3 linked regions of the Callithrix jacchus genome follow. The protein of the gene in region 1 purifies or fractionates together with the protein of each later gene. This does not show direct contact. Links are inferred from orthologs where the notes say so. Each region holds a gene or a part of one and is shown in the gene's direction. Other genes may lie near its edges.

The links.
Region 2: the proteins of SLC31A1 (region 1) and B3GAT3 purify together in Homo sapiens (co-immunoprecipitation; 3 studies listed by BioGRID and IntAct, with this or other methods). This does not show direct contact. The link is inferred for Callithrix jacchus from reciprocal best matches to the Homo sapiens genes SLC31A1 and B3GAT3.
Region 3: the proteins of SLC31A1 (region 1) and STX7 purify together in Homo sapiens (affinity purification with mass spectrometry; 3 studies listed by BioGRID and IntAct, counting the BioPlex papers as one, with this or other methods). This does not show direct contact. The link is inferred for Callithrix jacchus from reciprocal best matches to the Homo sapiens genes SLC31A1 and STX7.

What each region holds. Positions count from the first base shown.
Region 1 is NC_133502.1:161,534,421-161,538,740, forward strand, and holds the start of SLC31A1 (high affinity copper uptake protein 1), read left to right. Parts: upstream 1-1,510; 5' UTR 1,511-1,655; intron 1,656-3,531; exon of another isoform or gene 3,532-3,797; intron 3,798-4,320. Other genes in the region: FKBP15 (FK506-binding protein 15), read right to left, coding at 1,167-1,219.
Region 2 is NC_133511.1:119,887,108-119,889,810, reverse strand, and holds the end of B3GAT3 (galactosylgalactosylxylosylprotein 3-beta-glucuronosyltransferase 3), read left to right. Parts: intron 1-390; coding exon 391-751; intron 752-940; coding exon 941-1,231; intron 1,232-1,526; coding exon of another isoform or gene 1,527-1,527; intron 1,528-1,610; coding exon 1,611-1,709; 3' UTR 1,710-2,111; downstream 2,112-2,703. Other genes in the region: ROM1 (rod outer segment membrane protein 1), read right to left, coding at 2,555-2,703. UniProt on the Homo sapiens protein: Glycosaminoglycans biosynthesis. Involved in forming the linkage tetrasaccharide present in heparan sulfate and chondroitin sulfate.
Region 3 is NC_133505.1:139,163,635-139,168,074, reverse strand, and holds the start of STX7 (syntaxin-7), read left to right. Parts: upstream 1-1,527; 5' UTR 1,528-1,637; intron 1,638-4,440. UniProt on the Homo sapiens protein: May be involved in protein trafficking from the plasma membrane to the early endosome (EE) as well as in homotypic fusion of endocytic organelles. Mediates the endocytic trafficking from early endosomes to late endosomes and lysosomes.

The sequences.
Region 1 (4,320 bases):
AGCAAGAGTGAAAAGACTTCAGTATAGTTAATACAAAGCTAGTCACTGTTAATCAAAAGATCCTATTTAAAGACAAAAAAAGGCCAGTGTCGTTTTATGATCATTCATGTATTGACCTCTCCAACAAATGGGGAAGCAACTTAACGGCAGGCACAGCAGCTTAACCATTTTTGTAACCTCTTAGCATTTAGCAGAATAAGGAGCATATGTGGTGTATTTGTCGTTTTTCCAGTACATTCTTCAGCGTGCACAAAATTTGTTAAGCAGATGTTCAAAGCTTGCAATGATCACAGCTTGGTGTCTCTCAAGAGTTTGAAGGAAGTCAAGCTGTCCACTGGAACAACACAACAGAAAAGGCTAAACTGACTACTGAAAGAGACAAAACCCTGCCTTTCTTTAAAGATTTCGATCCTGGGCTGGAATGTATTAATACAATGCTTGGAAAACTGGAGAATGACGAAGTCTGTTATGTTGGTTTTAAGCTTTAAAATTTACAAAGTGCAATTTCGCAGCTATCATTCATTCAACAGGCACTTCTTGAGCACTCACTATGTGCCAGTTACCATGCTGAGTGCTAGACAGAGATGAACAACATAAGCAGTCCCTGTCCTGTGAGGAATCTTAATCTAAGAGGTTCGGGGTGCAAGAATAGAGGCGAACACACCGAGCTGTAGGAATAAGGAAGGGAAAGCAATTTATTCTGCCTCAGGCTGCAGAAGTAAAAGCACCGAAAACGTGACATCCGAGCTGGGCCTTGAAGAATGCTAGAGCTGACCCACCAGGGCCTGGTTCTAAAGTGTCATAGCCTTTTCCACTGAGAAGAGAAAGTCTCATGTCAGTCCCAGCTAACTACTACAAAAACTCTGAGGCAGGAAGTCTCATCAGCAATCATTCCTATCTCACCAGAGAAATTGTGACCCAGAAAGCAAAGGCAAACCCCAGGGTTATCTTCGCGCCAAGAGAGATGCCGGGTCCCGAACCTCAGATCTGCAGAGTCAGCACAGTTGCAAGCTCTGCCCAGATTCTCAGAGGTGTAGAGCACCGGAATGTGGCAAAGGTCTGCACCCGGAAGTTGGGAAAAGGCCTGAGAAGAGATCGACCCCCCTCCAACAATCTGCTGGTATCTCTCAGCCACGCCCTCCAGCGCACACTTCTCAGTCACTCACCCGCCGCTGGGCGAGAGGAAATCGGTGTCGTCCTCGTCCCCAGAACCGAACATTGCGTAGGATTTCACCGAAGAGCAGGGAGGAAGCTGCGTGTTCCCAGCATCCCAGGGCCTGTCACCGCCGACGTTGTAAAATGCCGCGGTAGCGTGCTGCTTTCCGGCAGGATGAACTCCGCACGGTCTCTGGGCCGAAAGCCGACTAGGCTCCGGAGAAGGTGGGGCAAAAAGGCAAATGAGAGGCTCGCGCGAGCACGCGCGCCGCGTGACGTCAGGCCTCTTCAGCCCGCAGGGGGGCGGAGCTTCATAGCCCCGTGGAGGGATTGGTTGGTAAGGCAAGGGGGCGGGGAAGGGGAGGGAATCCTCGGCCTCGGCGGCGGTCGTGGACACGTCGAGCCGGGCAGAAGTGGAGGGGCCAGTCGAGGAGTCGCGAGGGGGTGACGAGTTAAGATTCGCAGAGACAAGTGCTAGTGGCTGGACTCGACTTGGAAAGGTAAGGCTTCTCTCGGTCCCTCTGTCGCACCCCTGTGTATGGGTACCCTCCTTTCCCCAGCGGGACAAGGACCCTTCTCGCCGCTCTCCTCAGTTCGGCGGAAGGAGAAAGAGCTCGGGTCTGGAGGGCTGAAGACCTGGGCTTCGGCACGGCCTCTGTAGGGGCATAGCTAGAGTGACCTTGGTCCGGGGTGCTCGGTGCCTCAGTTTCCCCGTCTATGCAACTGGCCATTTGTCGAGTGCTTCCATGTGCCGGCTGGTCTAGAAGCTTTTAGAGCCCAGAGGCCATCGAAGTCAATCCCGGTCTCCTTGTAATCTCAGAATTTACAGATAGGGAAACGAAGGAACTAAGCCCCCGGGTGACTAGTCGGAGTTCACAAGGAGTAAAGGGCAGACTGAGATTGGATTTCTCGTTCTTTGATTCAGGATATAGTGAGCTCGTGAGTTAACAAGAACCTTGCTAGCCCTTAAGCACTGGGTGCCCTTACAGAATGGCTACTGAAAGACTGTAACATGCACCTCGAGGAAAGTTCCCCTTCTAGAGTCCACCTGTATTCTACTCAGGTGAGGTGCAGAAGATCTAGGATATTCTGGGGGTGGGTGATGGAAAGGAGGATACTTTGGAGGCAGACATATCCCCAGACCAACCTTGGCGTAGATTTCGCTGGGTCTTTCTGCGATAGTCCTAAATCAACATCAATTGTGGCGGACTCCTCTACCTCCAGTTTCCACCCTGTCTGTAGTTCACATAAATATTTCTTTGGTTAACCTCGTATCTCAAAACAATCCTGGGATAGTCCTGGCTTAGCCAAGGTGTGGCTAAGGAGATAGTGTCCCAGTGTAGCATCCATTTCCACAGACTCAGTGGAGTTCTTGGGCTTCCCCTCACAGTCAGGTTGGTACTACAGGTGTCCCTTACCTGAATGTTTCAATCTGTCAGTATGAAATTGAAGCGAAGTGATTGGTAGCTCCCTCCCAGAGAACTTTGCACCTCCTGGCACTTGCCCTGTTCTATTTTTTATTATAGTTTGCATACTACTGAATTGTAAACCTTCTTGCCTATATAATAGGTTCTTATTAATTTTTATTAGGCTGAATAATGAAATTCATCCTTGTTCCCTTGTTCCTTGATTTACAATCTTAGGATTTCTTTTTCCCGTGTGACCCAGCCTAGCGTTAGTTCTTGCCTTTCATAGGTAGCTCCCAGAAAGATAAAAATGCTGTACTAGCTGTGAGCTATCTGGGTTGTTTAATCTCTTTTGTTAATCGAAGATGATTGTACTATTGTCTAAAGCTCCAGGGGAGGGGGAACAGGGGAATAAGAAAGCTAGAAATATTATATGTAACTATAATTTTCATAAGGAAATTATTCCTCTCTTTAACTGAGGATAGAGCTGTTAGTCTGCTTCTCATGTTTATTTTGTAGATTAAGATGTTAAAGCAGTTAACGTTCACAGTTGCAATAATGCAACTGGGATCCAAGTGCTAAAATTGGAACTGAAACGCCTCTAATAAGCACGAGCACTAGAGCTGTTGCAATCACTGTTTAGTGTGTGAACTTGGCTACCTCTTGGAGGTGTTGAGGGAATAACTGGATTAAGTACCATGGCACTTTCTAACCCCCCTCCCCAATACTGGCTGTGACTGCAGTACTGAAACATCTAGATGGTGTTTTTATTTAAAAAATGCCCAAGGGAACGTTTGAACTCTTATCTTGTATTCTTGGGAGGAACTGTTTTTATCCTGGATGTTTAAGTAAAGTGGCTTTTGTGGGTACTCAGAAACTCTAAAATCAATAGCCTTATTGGTGATTGAACATTAAACATGCATACCCCAGTTATCACTGTGGAAACACAGCTGCTGATTCTTGTTGGCAGTATGAGGAGGAAGATGATGGTGAGACTTCCCCAGGCTTTGAACTGCAGGACTGAGTGAGTGCAACAACAAGAACAACAAAAAAAAAGCCACTGTCTTCCTAAATTCGTTTATCTTCAGATTGGTAATATTGGACTAGGAATCAGGAAATCTGAATTCCTGTCCCAGCCCTTCTAACTCACTCTGAGTTTGGGCCAGGCTCCCTAAACACTGTAAAAGGAGTGGATTAGACCCAGACTTCTACTGAGTAAGAGCTGGAGATACAAAGGTAAGTAAGGCACAACCTTGATCTCAAGTTTAAATTAAGCATTTATGTTTATTTGTTTTGCTTAAGTATACAACTTTTAGAATATTCATAAATGTATTGTTGACCCCTTGAAGATTGGCCAGGAAGCAGCAATTATTTTTCTCCACCCTCCACCCACCTTCCTCCCTCAGGGAAGCAGCAAATTTAATAATTATTTTCAAATTATCCTCAGTTTTGCAACAGAGATGACAGTCTTTATATACAAGTATACCCATACTAATCGGTACTGATGAATGCATTTTAAAATTAATAGTTTAAAGATATAACCAGGTTATATCAGGTATAGTGATAGGGATATGAATTAAATGCATAGACCGTAGGGATATGAATTAAATGCAGATCGATAACATTCTATTTACTCAGTCACTGGAAGCAGACTTTTAGGGCCTTTAGTTGGTTAACCGAAGTAGTAAGTTAAAGCAGGAATCATACAGATAATAGTTACATGCATATCATAAACATTTTAATGAACACATAAACATTC
Region 2 (2,703 bases), on another chromosome or scaffold:
CCAGCAAATTTTTCTATTTTTTTTAGTAGAGATAGGGTTTCACCATGTTGGCCAGGCTGGTTTGGAACTCCTGACCTTAGGTGATTCACCTGCTTCAGCCTCCCAAAGTGCTGGGATTACGAGTGTGAGCCACTGCACCTGGCCCTGTGCCCATAATTTATAGTCTCCCTTAGCCAGAGCTCTGGGGTTGAGGTGAGGGATGGACATGAACTGGAAGAACAGGGCAGGTTAGTGTTAGCATGAAGTTGACAGGCAAGAAAGGGAGTTTAGGCATTGGTTGGGAAAGACCATGGGAGATATATGCAGTGGCCCAGGTGAAGCTGTCTGCCCTAGCTGGAGTGGGCAAATGGTGCCTACCCTTTTCTCTCGTGCTGCATCTCTCCCCTGCAGGCTGGTACAGAAGGCAGAGCTGGTACGGCTTTCCCAGACACTGAGCCTGGTGCCCCGGCTACATTGGCTGCTGGTAGAGGACGCTGAGGGTCCCACCCCACTGGTCTCAGGGCTGCTGGCTGCCTCTGGCCTTCTCTTCACACACCTGGTGGTCCTTACGCCCAAAGCCCAGCGGCTTCGGGAGGGCGAGCCTGGCTGGGTTCGTCCCCGTGGTGTAGAGCAGCGGAACAAGGCCCTGGACTGGCTCCGGGGCAGAGGGGGAGCTGTGGGTGGGGAGAAGGACCCACCACCACCAGGGACCCAGGGAGTTGTGTATTTTGCTGATGATGACAACACCTACAGCCGGGAGCTGTTTGAGGAGGTGAGCATGAGGATGGGGATGGGCAAGAGGCCAGGCGTGGCCAGCTGCATTCATTACCTTGGTTAGCAGTGTTGCCGTTGGCTGCTAGGTGAAAGGCTGGAAGCAGTGGGCAGAGTGAGCCAGGTGGCTCTTTCTGCTGCTCCCTTCCCCAGACCACTCCTCTGTTTCTTCTCTCCCAATCTCCAATAGATGCGCTGGACCCGTGGTGTCTCAGTGTGGCCTGTGGGGCTGGTGGGCGGCCTGCGATTTGAGGGCCCTCAGGTCCAGGATGGCCGGGTTGTGGGCTTCCATACAGCATGGGAGCCCAACAGGCCCTTCCCTGTGGATATGGCTGGATTTGCTGTGGCCCTGCCCTTGCTGTTGGCTAAACCCAATGCCCAGTTTGATTCCACCGCTCCCCGGGGCCACCTGGAGAGCAGTCTTCTGAGCCACCTTGTGGATCCCAAGGACCTGGAGCCACGGGCTGCCAACTGCACTCGGGTAAGGGAATGGAGGTGGGCACAGAAACCTGGCTCTGGGACGGACAGGTTTTGGGGAGGTGCAGTGAGACCCTGGGAATGGGTGGTTTAACCAGGAGGGACTCTCCAGATCTCTGATCAGCCTTGCTGACTCTACTAAAGGGGAAGCTGGGAACCAGGGAGGGAAAGTGGTCTGCTGCTACTCCGTCCCTGAGTCCGGGAACCCATGTGGCACAGAGAGGATGAAGGAATAGGTCCGTTTTAGAGGCACTAAGTCTTCCTCCACACTGCCCTTTATACTTTGAATATGTGGAGAGGGTTAGAGAATCCATTCCAGCCTAAGGGCCCCAGAGGCCTGCCTGCCGCTGGGTCTGGCTCTCATCGCTTCCCTCCTGGCACAGGTACTGGTGTGGCATACACGGACAGAGAAGCCCAAGATGAAGCAGGAGGAGCAGCTGCAGCGGCAGGGCCGGGGCTCAGACCCAGCAGTTGAGGTGTGATGGCCCCACCCCAACTCCCACCTCTTTTCAGGCACAGACCTTGTGGGACTGGGCCCCGGGCCTGCCCAGGTTGTGGCTTTCCAAGTCCTGACCCTTCAGAGCCAGAAGTGGCCCCTCTGCCCCTCCAGGCCCACGGCATGGCCCTGCTGCTTTGCCCCTCCCCCGGCCTGCCGTGTGGCACTGCCCACAGGCTGGGGACAAGCAGCCCTTGTATTGAGCCAGGTCAGCCCTGTCTAGGGTGGGGTAGAAGGACAGACGGACTCAAGAGGGAGGGCAACTGAGTAACTGGGTAACTTATTGGGGCTGGGCATGCACTAGGGGGCTGGAGGAGCTGGGCTGGACTCTCCCCACCTGAGCATGCTGATCCCTTCCTACCTCCAGAATAAAGAATCTCAACCTGGAGGGCCTCTTGTTTTCCTTTCCTTCTTACATTGGGTTGTCGCTTTCTGATCCTGCTCTGCAGAGGTCAAGCCAGGGTCCAAACTTTGGAGTCCTGGCTGCTCCATCAGACAGAAATCAGTTCTCCCAGGCCCCCATCCCCCTGAAAGAAAAAGCAGTTGCTTCCATCCAAAAACTTTATTGAGTTTGTACCAGAATCCATCTCCAGGCCTTCCCATGTCACTTTCCCATCACTCTGTTCTTGGTGGTGGTTCCCTGGTGGTTCTGGCTACAAGGGCTAGGCCTTAGGATATCTGGTTTTCTTTCTTACCCTAGTCCAGCTCACTGACTATCCTTAACCCTTCTAATCCCGGGATTTCCCTCCCCAACCTGGAGCCTTGGTAAAGAGTTGTGAGGTTTCCAAACTTGTCCATCCCTCCCTTTTCCCCACCCCAAGCTCCAGGCCCCTAGGCCTCAGAAAGATCCTCCTTGAGAGGTGCCTCTCCTGGTGGGGCCTCCTCAGGTGCTGGCCTGTGGGCAATCCATCCCTGTAGCCATGCTGTTTTCAGCATCTCTTTCAGCCCACTAGGAAATAGATAGCCCTGGGTCTCTCCTT
Region 3 (4,440 bases), on another chromosome or scaffold:
TGGAAAGGATTTATTTTGGGAGATGTGACATTATCACATCAAATTGGGAGACTTTTTAAGCCCTATGGATTCAAGGCACCTGGCTGAATTTAACTTGGCAGCAGCCAGATTAGATAAAATACTGTATGTCAGGAATCCTTTGTAATTCATTTATCTTAATACTTCTAAATATTGCAAGGTTGTCTAGACTGTAATTCTTTATTTATTTATTTGAATACCAAGAGATGAAATCTTACTCTTAAGTTTTCAAAAGACCTGAATGGAATTCACTCATAGCATATTTTAAAACAAGAAATTGGAATGAGCCCAGGACGAGGGCTCAGACAGCTAAGTTTTGGTACCAGCAGAGTCAGTAACTATCAGGGCAACTTGAAGAGGCCACTTAACCTCAGGTTCTTCTTTAGCGTATTGTCCCTTCCCCTCCCCGAGCCCAGAGTTCTATTAAAGGTAATATGAACGGATATTTGGAAAGTGCACTAAATCTCACACGGATGTAGGATCCTTTCATGAGTTCCTTCAATGATTGAAATGTCTCTTCCTAATTTCACCAGCCACTTCCTAATTCTCAAAAACTGCACCACTTTCAGTTCTTTATTTCTTGAACTTTCTGTGACAGGTGACAATCATAGACCATGCCTTCTTTTCTTCCTTCATTCTCTATTTCCTGGTTTATTTCCTGTCTTGCGGATTACTCCCTTTCTGGTTTATTTCCTGTCTTGTGGATTACTCCCTTTCACGGTTATTCTTTCTCTGTCAATCTCTCTTAAATAGATAACATTACACAATTAGTGTGGTGAGTTTCAGCAAGAATTTTATCCTGGGTTTTGCTTTTTTTCCCACCTAAGTGCATCTGGACTTTTGATGTCACGTATCCTGGTGATTCTTTTAGAAAATAGGCAAAGGTTAAGCCAATCTATCTTCTAATTAATTTGGTGAGGGCTTTCTTTCACTTGTAGCAATTGATGCTTTTCATCTAATAATTACAATATATTTGGATATTTATCACTGGAACCATCTCTGCTTGTTTTAAACCCTGTGAAAACTACGCCCTGCTTTTCAGGAATGCTTAGAATGACTTGTATGTGCTAGGAAAACTTGTTTACTAAATGAGCACCCAGAGAAGACTCTTCACTTATTCCTTCATTGTTCCTGCTAAGACTGTGTATTCGCTTTTGCATTTCTCGATGGAGTTGTGAACGCGATCTACTGCAGAGTTAAAGGTCAGCTAACAAGATAGGCAAGAGCTAATGGGGCGGGGTGAAGACCCGCGTGCCGGGAGGCTATCTTCACCAGATAAAGAAGACAACTATACTCCATTCCGTCCTCTGCTTTTTTGCACGCAAGCTAAGAGGCGTTCACCATTTCTACGTCAGACTTCGTAGGACAGCTCCCCTGCAATTTTGCTGATACCCCCATTCCTTAGCTTGAAACTGGAGGGGGCGGTGAGGGCTGCTGTCACTCAGCCCCCTGGGCCAATAGGAAAGGGATGAGCCCCGCCTTCTTCCTGGTGCTGTGCTGTGAGCATGCGCATTGGGCGTCCCCACGCCACCGCCCATCAGCTGATAATTGCTACTGAAGTCTCCGGGGTAGGTGGGTGACGGTGGCTAGTGGTGTAGGAGGGAGCTGCTGAGTTCCAGGTAAGAGGACCCTGGGGAGGGGAGCTCCCTGGCCAGGCGACAGGGAGGCGCGGTGCGCCTGCGGTTCCTGCGCCTCCTTGTTTGTGCGTGTGGTCTGGTGGCCGCCGCCCTGCGCTCTGCAGCTGGCACTCGGGAGGCGAGAAAGGGCCGGGCTGCCCGGGCTCCCCGAGCGCCCGCGGCTCCACACGCCCCCCGGCCGGGTGCAGGGACGCGGCGAGTTCCGCATTCCTGGCGCCCGCGGCTGTGGTCAGGTGGGCCCGGCCAGCCCGGCACCAGCCGCGATCCTTGGGCAGCACTCCCGAGGCGTCCGGCGACTGAGCTCACCCCGGGGCGGGCGCCAGGGCCGGCTGGGGCCCAGCTCAGGAATCCAGACACGACCAAGTGACCTCTTCCTCTTTTCAGCTCACGGATTGAAAAACACGCTTTAAATTTCCCGAATATAGAGGAACCGAAAAATGTATGGCTGTAGCAAACAAACAGTGTATGTTTATTGAGTGGCTCATGGTATGTGGTGTTTTATTTGGCTTGATGACTTTAACATACTTCCTTTGACATTGTTAGCATACACCTTTAATTAATTTACATATAAACCTTTAAACATACATAAAATGTTTCAAATATTTCTTCCACCTTGTTTTCTAGGTTCCTTTCTTTAAATTGAGACAAAGAAAAAAAGTTGCATTTCTGATCAAATGCTGTGCGTTTTTTCCCCACAAATTTCTTACATTTCCTTGGCTCTTATCTATATCTAGGTTAATTTTTGTTTACATCAGATCATTGTATTCTGACTATAATTATATATAAAACTTGCTCAGAATCTGGAAAGAAAAGGAAGTAATTATGAAATGCTGTGCTTTTAATAATGTTGGAGGTGGACATTTCTTCTGCAGGTGCACACCTGCACACCTGGGCAGAAGCTGATAACGGTGTTAAATTGTGTCTTGTGATGTGGACAGACCTTGTAGGCCACTTGGAGAAGTTGGCCTCAGACCTGTGACTAGTTAAGAATTATGCTCTTAACTTCACAGTTTCTGCAGAGGTTAATATGATACCATATTAACTCATTAACATCATCATTTTTCCTCAGCTGTGTTACTTATGTTGCTCTTTTTTTTTTTTTTTTTTGAGACAGAGTCTCTCTCAGTCACCAGGTGCCGGGCTGGAGTGCAGTGGCAGGATCTCGGCTCACTGCAACCTCTGCCTCCCGGGTTCAAGCAATTCTCCTGCCTCAGCCTCCCGAGTAGCTGGGACTACAGGCGAGTGCCACCATGCCGGGCTAATTTTTGTATTTTTAGTAGAGACGGGGTTGCCCCGTGTTGGCCAGGATGGTCTCAATCTCTTGACTTCATGATCTGCCGGCCTCTACCTCCCAAAGTACTGTGATTACAGATGTGAGCCACCGTGCCCCACCCTTATATTGCTCTTGATAACAAAGTCATCCCCATTTTGATTTTGACCCCAAACTTTTAAGTGCTGATGGTTGAAAAGTAAGTTATAAAGTCTGGGCTCAGCGGCTCATGCCTGTAATCCCAGCACTTTGGGAGGCTGAGGAGGGCAGATCACTAGGTCAGGACTTCGAAGCCAACATGGTGAAACCCCGTCTCTACTAAATTTACAAAAATTAGCCAGACATGGTGGCCCGCTCCTGTAATTTCTGTTACTTGGGAGGCTGAGGCAGGCAGGAGAATTGCTTTAAGCTGGGAGGCAGAGGTTTCAGTGAGCCAAGATCACACCATTGTACTCCAGCCTGGGCCACGAGTAAGACTCTGTCTCAAAAAAAAAAAAAAAAAAAAAAAGGAAAAAAGAAAAGTAAATTATAGAAAATATCCACAGTAAGTCTGAGTTATGTTTCATGTAATTACATTTAATTTGCAAGCTTCATGTGTGAAAGTGTGAACAAAAAAAATCCTTAGGATTCTGAACTAAAACCAAGTAGTGCAAAAGTTCAGTGGATGGAAGAGCTAAGGCCAAAGAATGCAGTTAATGTAGTTTGTGCAGAGAATACTTATATAGACAGAGCACCCTCACATTGCTTGCGCATTTACTATGCACCAAGCACTGTAGATTACACAGGGTAACAAGGTCATCTCTCTCCTGTTTATATACTAGAAGTAGCTCCTATTTGTATTCCAGAGGTGTAGGGATCAATAATAAACAGTCTACTAATTAGGCTATTGAGTATTGTGAAGCAATAAGTTAAATTGACAAAGAGTGGACAGTGGTGAGTTCTCACTTCAGATCAGAGTGGCCGCAAAGGTTTCTCTAGCATGTGATGAGGCCTTGCTGGGGAGAAGGAGCCAGTCACATGGAGATCATGAGAATAGCTTTCTAGAAATAGGAAATGGTACCCCACAAAGGCCCAAGGCAGCAAGAAGCCTGGGACCTTCAGGATCTGAAAGAAGGCACTGGAATTTTATGTTTTAGAAATGGTAACATTTACCCTCAGGCTGGTGTGTTTTCTTAGGAAGTGGGTACATTCATTCATTCTACAAATATTTACTAAGCACTTATGATGTAGCCAGACATTGAGAATAGTACAGTCTACAAAACAGACAAAACAATGCCTACCTCCCCACCCCTCAAAATTTATTTGGTGTAGAGGATACAGAGAGGTCCAGTTGTTTATGCTGATGCTAATGATTAAGAAAGTGAAATTGACCATTTCTTTTCCCAGGTTCGATTTATAGAGCATGAGATATGTGCAAAATGGAAATCTTAAGGATTCTACAGTATATCTGATTTTAACTGGGAGTAGTGTCTGACACTTTAAGATGAAATTTTAACACTCCTTTGTTCATTCTTT